Yarrowia lipolytica: one gene and its partner. The protein of the gene in region 2 interacts with the protein of the main gene of each other region in a biochemical or structural test. Links are inferred from orthologs where the notes say so. Each region holds a gene or a part of one and is shown on either strand. Other genes may lie near its edges.

Evidence for each region.
Region 1: of the proteins of YALI1_C24081g (region 2) and YALI1_E30073g, one has a biochemical effect on the other in vitro, tested with the Schizosaccharomyces pombe proteins (5 studies listed by BioGRID). The link is inferred for Yarrowia lipolytica from reciprocal best matches to the Schizosaccharomyces pombe genes atf1 and sty1.

The regions. Positions count from the first base shown.
Region 1 is NC_090774.1:3,005,487-3,009,339, reverse strand, and holds YALI1_E30073g (uncharacterized protein), read left to right. Parts: upstream 1-2,061; coding exon 2,062-3,222; downstream 3,223-3,853. Other genes in the region: YALI1_E30109g (uncharacterized protein), read left to right, coding at 1-371; YALI1_E30074g (uncharacterized protein), read right to left, coding at 1,465-1,713, 1,767-1,880. UniProt on the Schizosaccharomyces pombe protein: Proline-directed serine/threonine-protein kinase involved in a signal transduction pathway that is activated by changes in the osmolarity of the extracellular environment. Controls osmotic regulation of transcription of target genes.
Region 2 is NC_090772.1:2,405,779-2,410,147, forward strand, and holds YALI1_C24081g (uncharacterized protein), read right to left. Parts: upstream 2,381-4,369; coding exon 641-2,380; downstream 1-640. Other genes in the region: YALI1_C24016g (uncharacterized protein), read left to right, coding at 1-289.

The DNA of each region.
Region 1 (3,853 bases), on a different chromosome or scaffold from region 2:
CTGCTTTTGGTATCTTCAACGTCGCCTTTTCTATCGGTATCATCATTGGACCGCTTCAAGCAGGAGCCACCAAGGACAGAAGTGGCTGGGGAATGATGGTCTTGTCTGTCGGACTTGTTTCTGTCATATCAGCAATCCCTACGTTCCTCTTCTCGGGAGGATACCTCTTCTCCAAGGCTAACAAGGGCAAGACGCTCTTCCAGCGAGTTTTCCGGTCGCCCAACGCGTGGGAAAAGGAGGAGAAGGCAGCTCGAGAGGAGGAGCGAAGACGGTTGCGAATGGAAAGGTCTAAGGAGGAAACTGGAGACGGAGGGATAGAGAAGAGTCTGGGTGTGAAGGAGATGGATATGGGAATTGATGACACGACATAGCATACATAATTATTTATACATTGCATGATTAATGATACAGGGGGTGGTGGTTGTGTAGAGCGTACTACTTGTAGTTGTAGTACAGTACAGTAAGTTGTCCATGGTATTTCCTATAGCAAAAAGTTGTGCAAGGACAAAAAAATGACGACATCCGCAGGATTCGAACCTACGCGGGGAAACCCCAAGAGATTTCTAATCTCTCGCCTTAACCGCTCGGCCAGGATGCCTGAATTTTAAAAAATAAAAAGCTCCCGTTACACCACAGGCAACAATTACATCACGTGACCCCCAAGAAAAACCGAGATTAACGGCTTATTGAGAAGTTAAATGATAGGATTTAATAGCAATAAGACAGTAACCTTGTTGTTTAAACAGGGGTTATTTTAAGCAACAGAGTCAACCAAATTGTTCTCATTCGCAGGTATACAGAATCCTGTGATGTTGAATTTGCAGTGTGGGGTTGGTTCATAACAAAACGAGAAAACAATAGAAGCAATAAATGAGATGCAGAGAGTCTATGGAAATGGGTTGATGGCTGACTGGTGAGCGGGTGGAATGTGATTGGTTACTAATATGTGAACTGCTTCTTCTGTCGTACTCCCGTTCTCTCCGACGTCTGAATTCAGATACGACGCCTTCTGACAGCAAATTAGATCCAAACATTGGGTCTATGATGCTGCAAGTCAAGGTGCCAGGTACATGTGATACTCAGATAAGAATATCGCAGTGGGTTTGTTCATATCTGTTGTGGTTTGCGAGTTATACGACGATATCTTTTCAGATGCTATTGTACAATACGAGTGCTCGTACTTGTACGATAGCGACACCATTTCTACGAATGATTCTCGTGTAGTGCTTGTCATTCTCTTTGTGTGGTGGAAAAGAGAACTCTGCGGTCTGCTGTTTGTTGGACTCTAAAAAGCCACCTGTGATTGATGGATGGGTGTGTACGTGTGTGAGGGGAACTACTTGTATGCCGTCTATAGCCGTGTGTGATGGATACTGTGCAGATGGGGGTGTATTTTGCTTGTATTTGTACATAATCGAGTACTTGTACAAGTACTGAGATATTCATTTACAGTATGATCATTCTTCAAGTCAACTGTATCATGTTCCCAAGTTGACAACATAAGCACACCCAATCAACGACAATGCGGCGATAATGAGACATTAAGTGGGGGGATATGAGGAGCGTAAAACGGAGTGATAACGAGCGGGACGGGCTGTGTGTGTAACCATGCTGGCACTCCCGGCTCTCAATTTCAATTCCCCAAGTTCGCCACCTTATATAAGCTGTTCTCTGGTGACCTAGCGTGTGTGCTTGGTTGCTGTGCTGTTCGTTCTTTTTTTGACGTCATGACACGGCACGATTCAACAAAAGAGCCGTGAACGCACAAGGGACGTCGAAAGAAAACAGAAATATGTAACCGGGGCCGAATACCGTGTACCAAAGTCGATAAATGCCCTCACAAGGATCGTAGCCACATTCAGAAGCCCCCCCCCAACCATCTCCGCCAGCCGCGTACCCTGCAGGTTGAAAATTCAAAATTGGTTTGGTGCAGCAAGCACAAGTTAGGTTGGCGATACTCTCGAGACACCACACACACCACACAACTCGCAGCACTACATCACCAAGTGTAGCTCGGACCCCTGTGACTCTCTCTACCGTCTCCCAGGAACAGCGCGTAACATGGCGGACTTTATCCGGACCCAGATCTTCGGCACGTGTTTCGAAATCACGTCGCGATACGTGGATCTCAACCCCGTGGGGATGGGAGCCTTTGGTCTCGTGTGTTCGGCCAAGGACCAGCTCACGGACCAGAACGTGGCCATCAAGAAAATCATGAAGCCGTTCGGCACTCCCGTGCTGTCGAAACGGACGTACCGAGAGCTCAAGCTGCTCAAGCACCTGCGCCACGAAAACCTCATTTGCCTGAGCGACATTTTCATCTCGCCGCTGGAAGACATTTACTTTGTCACCGAGCTGCTGGGCACAGACCTGCACCGTCTGCTCATGACCCGGCCTCTGGAGAAGCAGTTCATTCAGTACTTTCTTTACCAGATTCTGCGAGGCCTGAAGTACGTGCACTCTGCCGGTGTGGTCCATCGAGACCTCAAGCCGTCCAACATCCTCGTCAACGAGAACTGCGACCTGAAAATCTGCGACTTTGGCCTTGCCCGAATCCAGGACACCCAGATGACCGGCTACGTGTCGACCCGGTACTACCGAGCGCCTGAAATCATGCTCACGTGGCAGAAGTACGATGTGGAGGTGGATATTTGGTCCACGGGCTGCATCTTCGCCGAGATGCTGGAGGGCAAGCCCCTGTTCCCCGGCAAGGACCACGTGCACCAGTTCTCCATCATCACCGAGCTGCTGGGCTCGCCCCCAGAAGATGTGATTCACACCATCTGCTCGGAAAACACTTTGAGGTTCGTCAGAACTCTGCCCCGGCGAGAACGAATCCCTCTGGCGTCCAAGTTCCGAAACGCCGACCCCGAGGCCATCGATCTCATGGAGAAAATGCTGGTTTTCGACCCCAAAAAGCGAATAACCGCGGCCGAGGCTCTGGCCCACCCTTACTTGGCACCATACCACGACCCCAGCGACGAGCCTGTAGCCGAGGAACGGTTCGACTGGTCGTTCAATGACGCAGACTTGCCGGTGGACACATGGAAGGTGATGATGTACTCGGAGATTCTCGACTTCCACAATGTGGACATTGACGTCAACGGCCAGCCTCCACAGGGCCAGTTTGAGCAGGTCCATGCCCAGGCACAAGCGGCCGTCGCACAGAACGAGGCTGCCAGGGCTAGGGAACAGGAGCAGCAGCAGCAGGAGCAGCAGTAAACACCCAAACAATGTGGGTCAAAGACGGACAAGGCAATCAGTAATAGGAGGACAGCATGGCTGACGTGATATAAGTGATGTAATTAAGTGTAGGATTATGGAGCAGCGATGTGATGACACGCCATCTTATCGTGAACTAGTTAGGAACATAGCTCGAATTGAACAGATGAGACACTGACGGAGAGAGGGACGATCGTATTGGGGAAGAGGAGTACCAGTTCGTACTGTACTTGTGGTACGTAAAGCCATTTGTGAGATCGCAACTATGGAGTTGCACTGCAGTGGAGCTACAGTATGTACTGCATCTTGACAATCCACTCACAAACAATGTACAATGTTCTGTATCTATATGACACCCACACTACAGGAGGCAGCTTTGGAGGTGGCATGAGAACGCAACATCCCCGAACAAGGCACCCCACCAAGTGGCTGTGAACTTGGAAAGTCGCCATGATATCATTTGATCAAATATCACTGACCAGCAGTTCAGTCCAAAGAACGCATTAATACTTACCATCACCATCTGTTGCAGTTGTTCATCAGAGATGGCAACAGCTGTATGATCCCAGCTTGTAACCCACAGTACGACGACTTCGCGAGAGTTCGACGAATCGAAGAATTGGTACTGTAT
Region 2 (4,369 bases):
TGGACAGCTGGTGAACGATGTGGAGATGACCCAGGGTACAGACATGTCCAAGAAGGTGTATGAGATTGAGACCGGTAAGGAGAAGGAAGGACACAAGCCTGTGGAGCCAGGAGAGCATCTGGAGCTGCTCCAGGAGTTTCTTGATGGCATTAGGGAGCATGTTGCTGGAGCAGCAGGTTTCTATTCCAGGTTGGAGCAGGCGGAGCTGGAGATGCCCCAGACCGCCAGTAGTGAAGGTAGTGAGCCGAAGACGGCTAAGAAGGGGACGATTGATGAGAGAATTGGGTGAGTGTTGAGTGTGAGCCACTCGCGTCGAACAACTCTCAAATGCATAAAATTACAAGTGCAAGTACTGTACATATTTAATTACATGGTTGGGTTTATCAAGAGATCGGGGTATTGTATGTAGAAGTAGTTGGTGAGGTGGGTAAAGCACCCTGTAGACGCTTGTCTGAATACTGTCGCGTAGCCTACATCTCACTGCTCTTTCAATCAATAAATTACTGTGTATAAATAACCAGACTCAAGTCTAGGGATTGTGGGAGGGATAGTGGTATAGGTAACAGAAGAGTTACTGGCAAACTGTGTGTCCACTCACTGCAATGGTGGTTGCAGTTTCCGCTTGCTAGTTGGACGTTGGTTACATATACAACGGTTGGGGGATACCCTGCTGTCTATCTCCCTCCTCCGGGTTAGGAGGCGGCATCATTCCTCCAGCCTGCATAGCGATGCCCATCATCTGTGTTCCATCCTGCGCACCGCCAACGGGACCATGTTCTATAGGTTGGCCCATCATCATTGGCTGATGGTGGTTGGCGTGGGCGTTCTGCGGGACGTTCTGCATACCATCCAGAGGCATTTGTTGTTGCTGGGGAACCTGCTGAGGCACTTGCTGAGACATTTGCTGAGGCACCTGCTGAGGTGGCATTTGCTGCTGCTGCTGCTGCTGGGGAACTTGCTGTTGAGGAGGAACCTGTTGCTGAGACATCTGCTGCTGGGCCATCTGCTGTTGAGCCATTTGCTGCTGAGCCATCTGTTGTTGGGGGACTTGCTGCTGCGGGACCTGTTGTTGGGGAGGCATCTGTTGGACCTGCTGAACCCCAGGTTGAGGAATTGTAGGGACTTGGGGAATGGGTACAGGAGCAGGAACATTATTAATGACAATGTTTGTGTTCAGCACCTCATCGAGCGTTGCAGCCGGAATTTTGGCTCCATTGCCATTCTTAAAGTCCAAAACGATGCTCTTCAGGCCCTTGACCTGGTCTCTGAGTCGTGCAATCTGCTGGTTCAAGTTGTCGTTTTCACTGGCATAGAACTCCACCTTTGCCTCCAGGTTTGCCAGCCACTGCTTCTTTCGCTGTCGGCACTTGAGAGCAGCCACCCGGTTTCGCTCCAGGAAACATTTTCGTTTTTCCTCCTCGTCCATGGGCTCTCCGTCGGGCCCAGTTTCGGAGGCTGCCATAGCAGCGGCCTCCTCTTCCTCCTGTTTGATTTCTGTCTTTGTCTTCTTTCGCTTCTTAGCGGGTGGCAAAGGTTCCTTTGGCTCGTCAGGGGAAGCCTTGTCCTTTTTCTCTCGTTTCTTTCCTCCCTTTTTGCCCTTGGCAGCTGGAGCAGTGGAGGCAGCAGCAGCAGCAGCCTGGACTCCTTGCGATGGTTGAGGAGGTTGGGCAGCCTGTGCTCCCTGAGGGGGTTGTTGTGAAGGGACTGTCTGAGCCGGGGCGGTCTGAGCAGGAACAGGTTTGGCTTTCTGCTCTTCAGGGGTATCGAGATTGAAGAGCGCAGAGAGGCCCCCTGGGGTAGTTTTGCCGTCCTGTTGGGCTGCAACTGCTGCGGCAGCCGAAATAGGAGTCAGTTGGCCTCCAGGGGTCAGACCTGACCGAATGCCGCTCTCGGCAAAGCTTCTATGTCTGAGGGACGACACGAGTGATGAGAACGCACCTGGAGATTGTGCTCCGGGTGTGCCAGCATTCCATCCGGGGAATCCTGCTGGGGTGCCTCCATTTTGTGGTTTTTGCAGGAAAATTGCTGGCGACAGAGGGCCTGTTTCGAATCCAGAAATGCCCGCAGAAGGGGTGTTGGTGCCAGATCCGCTCTGGGCAATCTCGGAGAGCGGAGGCAGGATCCGGTTGCCTCCCGGGGTGAATACTCTAGCCAGAGGAGTCAGTTTAGGCGACTTGTGGGGGTTGTTGTCCATAGACGCATTTCGGGAGTGCGAGAGTCGAGGAGCTCCATGGCGTTTCTTGTCATCGTCGGGCGCCGCAAACGACTGCTCGAACGGATTGGGTTCAAGGTCAAAGGTCGTTTTGCGAGTGCCAACCGAGTCCTGCGAAGACACTGACGTTTTTCGGGCCGTAGGAGAGGTGGAGTCTGCTTTGGACATGGTGTGACGTGTGTGTGTGTGTGTGTGTGTGTGTACGGCGGCTTTATCTTGGATTCTTTGGGTTCGATTTGTGTTGGGGATGTCGAGGGAGTCCGTGCGCGCCTTGAGTTCGCGTCCTGTCGCGTCCGCTTTTTTTTGGCGTATTAATGAGTGTGCTGAGATAGGCACGTACAGTTGTACTATGGGTTGCGTGATGACGTAGTTCTTCTTGGGACAAGGTGGTTTTGGATTTTAGCTTTTGGGGGGTGAGGGAGTTGGGTTTGGCGGGTACATTTGGGTCCGGTACATTGGGGACCGGTGGGGAAGAGGAGCAGCTGTTTGGGGGCAACTGGAGGCGGGCGTAGGGGAGCTGTGGGGGGGGCGCTCCGGCGGGTCTTGGAACTGTCGAGAGTTGATTCGCAGCTTCCTATTTCGCCCCAGCCCTCTCCAACACCCATCTTATAGCCATCTCGATTCCCCCCACAAGTTTACACACGCTATGACGTAATTTCGGTGGCTTATGTGTTTTCTGCGCCGTCCAGAACCGCTACAATGCGGTTGACGCAAGTTCGAGTACAGTACGAGTATAACTAGAAGTCGTTATTCCATTCAGACACATGTCCTCGACCTCACCTCTGCTCGCAGCATTACTCATAGCTACAGCTACCGCAGCTCGCTCTCTCCAAATGTGGGGGAGGCTTTAACTGGCCCGATTGACACGTGAGAACGGTATGCATCATAATCCCGAGCTATGTATGTTGGTGCAAGGCGTGGCGGTAGGTGATACGGTGGTGATACGGTGGTGATACGGTGGTGATACGGTGGTGATACGATGGTTGTAGGTAATATGAACGGGTCACGTGATGCAACAGGCTCACGTGATGCTGTGCTCGGACCATATCTGTCGTTCGGTGCATGTACATGTTCCCCACGTTAACCTCGGCTATTTTTATTAGTCTCGAAAATAGGGTTCCGAAATTGGAGACGATATTGCATCTTCAGAAACGGGTGGGTATATCTGAGTGGAGTAGCTGACAAATTATGACGAGTCTTTGTACAAGTAGGCAGTTTCGAAAACGTGACTGGCGACCAGTTAATGATTTGGCCAACCATGTCTCCAGAATCATTCCATTTGATGTGGATCTACGAGTCTCTCTTGCCAGTACCAAATATCGGTGGATGTAAGGCACTGAGAACGAGTATGTACATACTAATACAACCATACTGTCCTCGTTCCATGCTCGAGACACATCTACTTGTAGATCGTCCAGTGAATATCAATGCATGTACAGTACAGTATGTACTCGTACAAGACTCGTACAAGACCCCTTATGGATCTTTGACGCTCCAGGGCAGAAAGTCTCGGCTGACAGCTCCCCAAGCCTGACAAGCACAAGTCCGAATTGAAGTCCGGATTGCAGGTCCGAATCGCAGTCCGAATTGCACGAGCAGTATGTAGACTTGTAGGAACCGCTCCAATCACTGGCAGTTACTCCTCGAGATGGACATACTTGTATCGTCGCCCTATGTACTCGTAATGCAAGGGATTCCACCAGACATTCCTGCCACAATGGCAGGGTCCGTGAAAACGCCGACCACTGACAAGATGCCTTGTTCGTCTTGACCACGGACTAACTGGCACAAGCGAGATTAACGTCGTCGGAGACTATTCGGCACACAAGGCCAGACTGTGTGGCACGTCTCATCTCTCGTACCGACCTCTGTCAACAGTCTAACCGATTTTTAATGCTCGATATTACCAATGTTTCTTTGTGTCTTTTAACCAGAACAACCGAGCAGACCCGAACAGGTGCCGAACATGTGAATAGCAGTGCTGGAGCTCCATCAGTAAGCATAATAACACAGCTGCCCAGCGACCTCCGCCCAGCGACCTCTACCCAGCGACCTCGGGCACGTGACTATCTGCTCCGTTCCTCGCGGTCGCTGGCACGCTGGCAAATCTGGGGTCTCCACATTTTCCCCCGGATGTCTTGTTCCGTAGCGTGACTC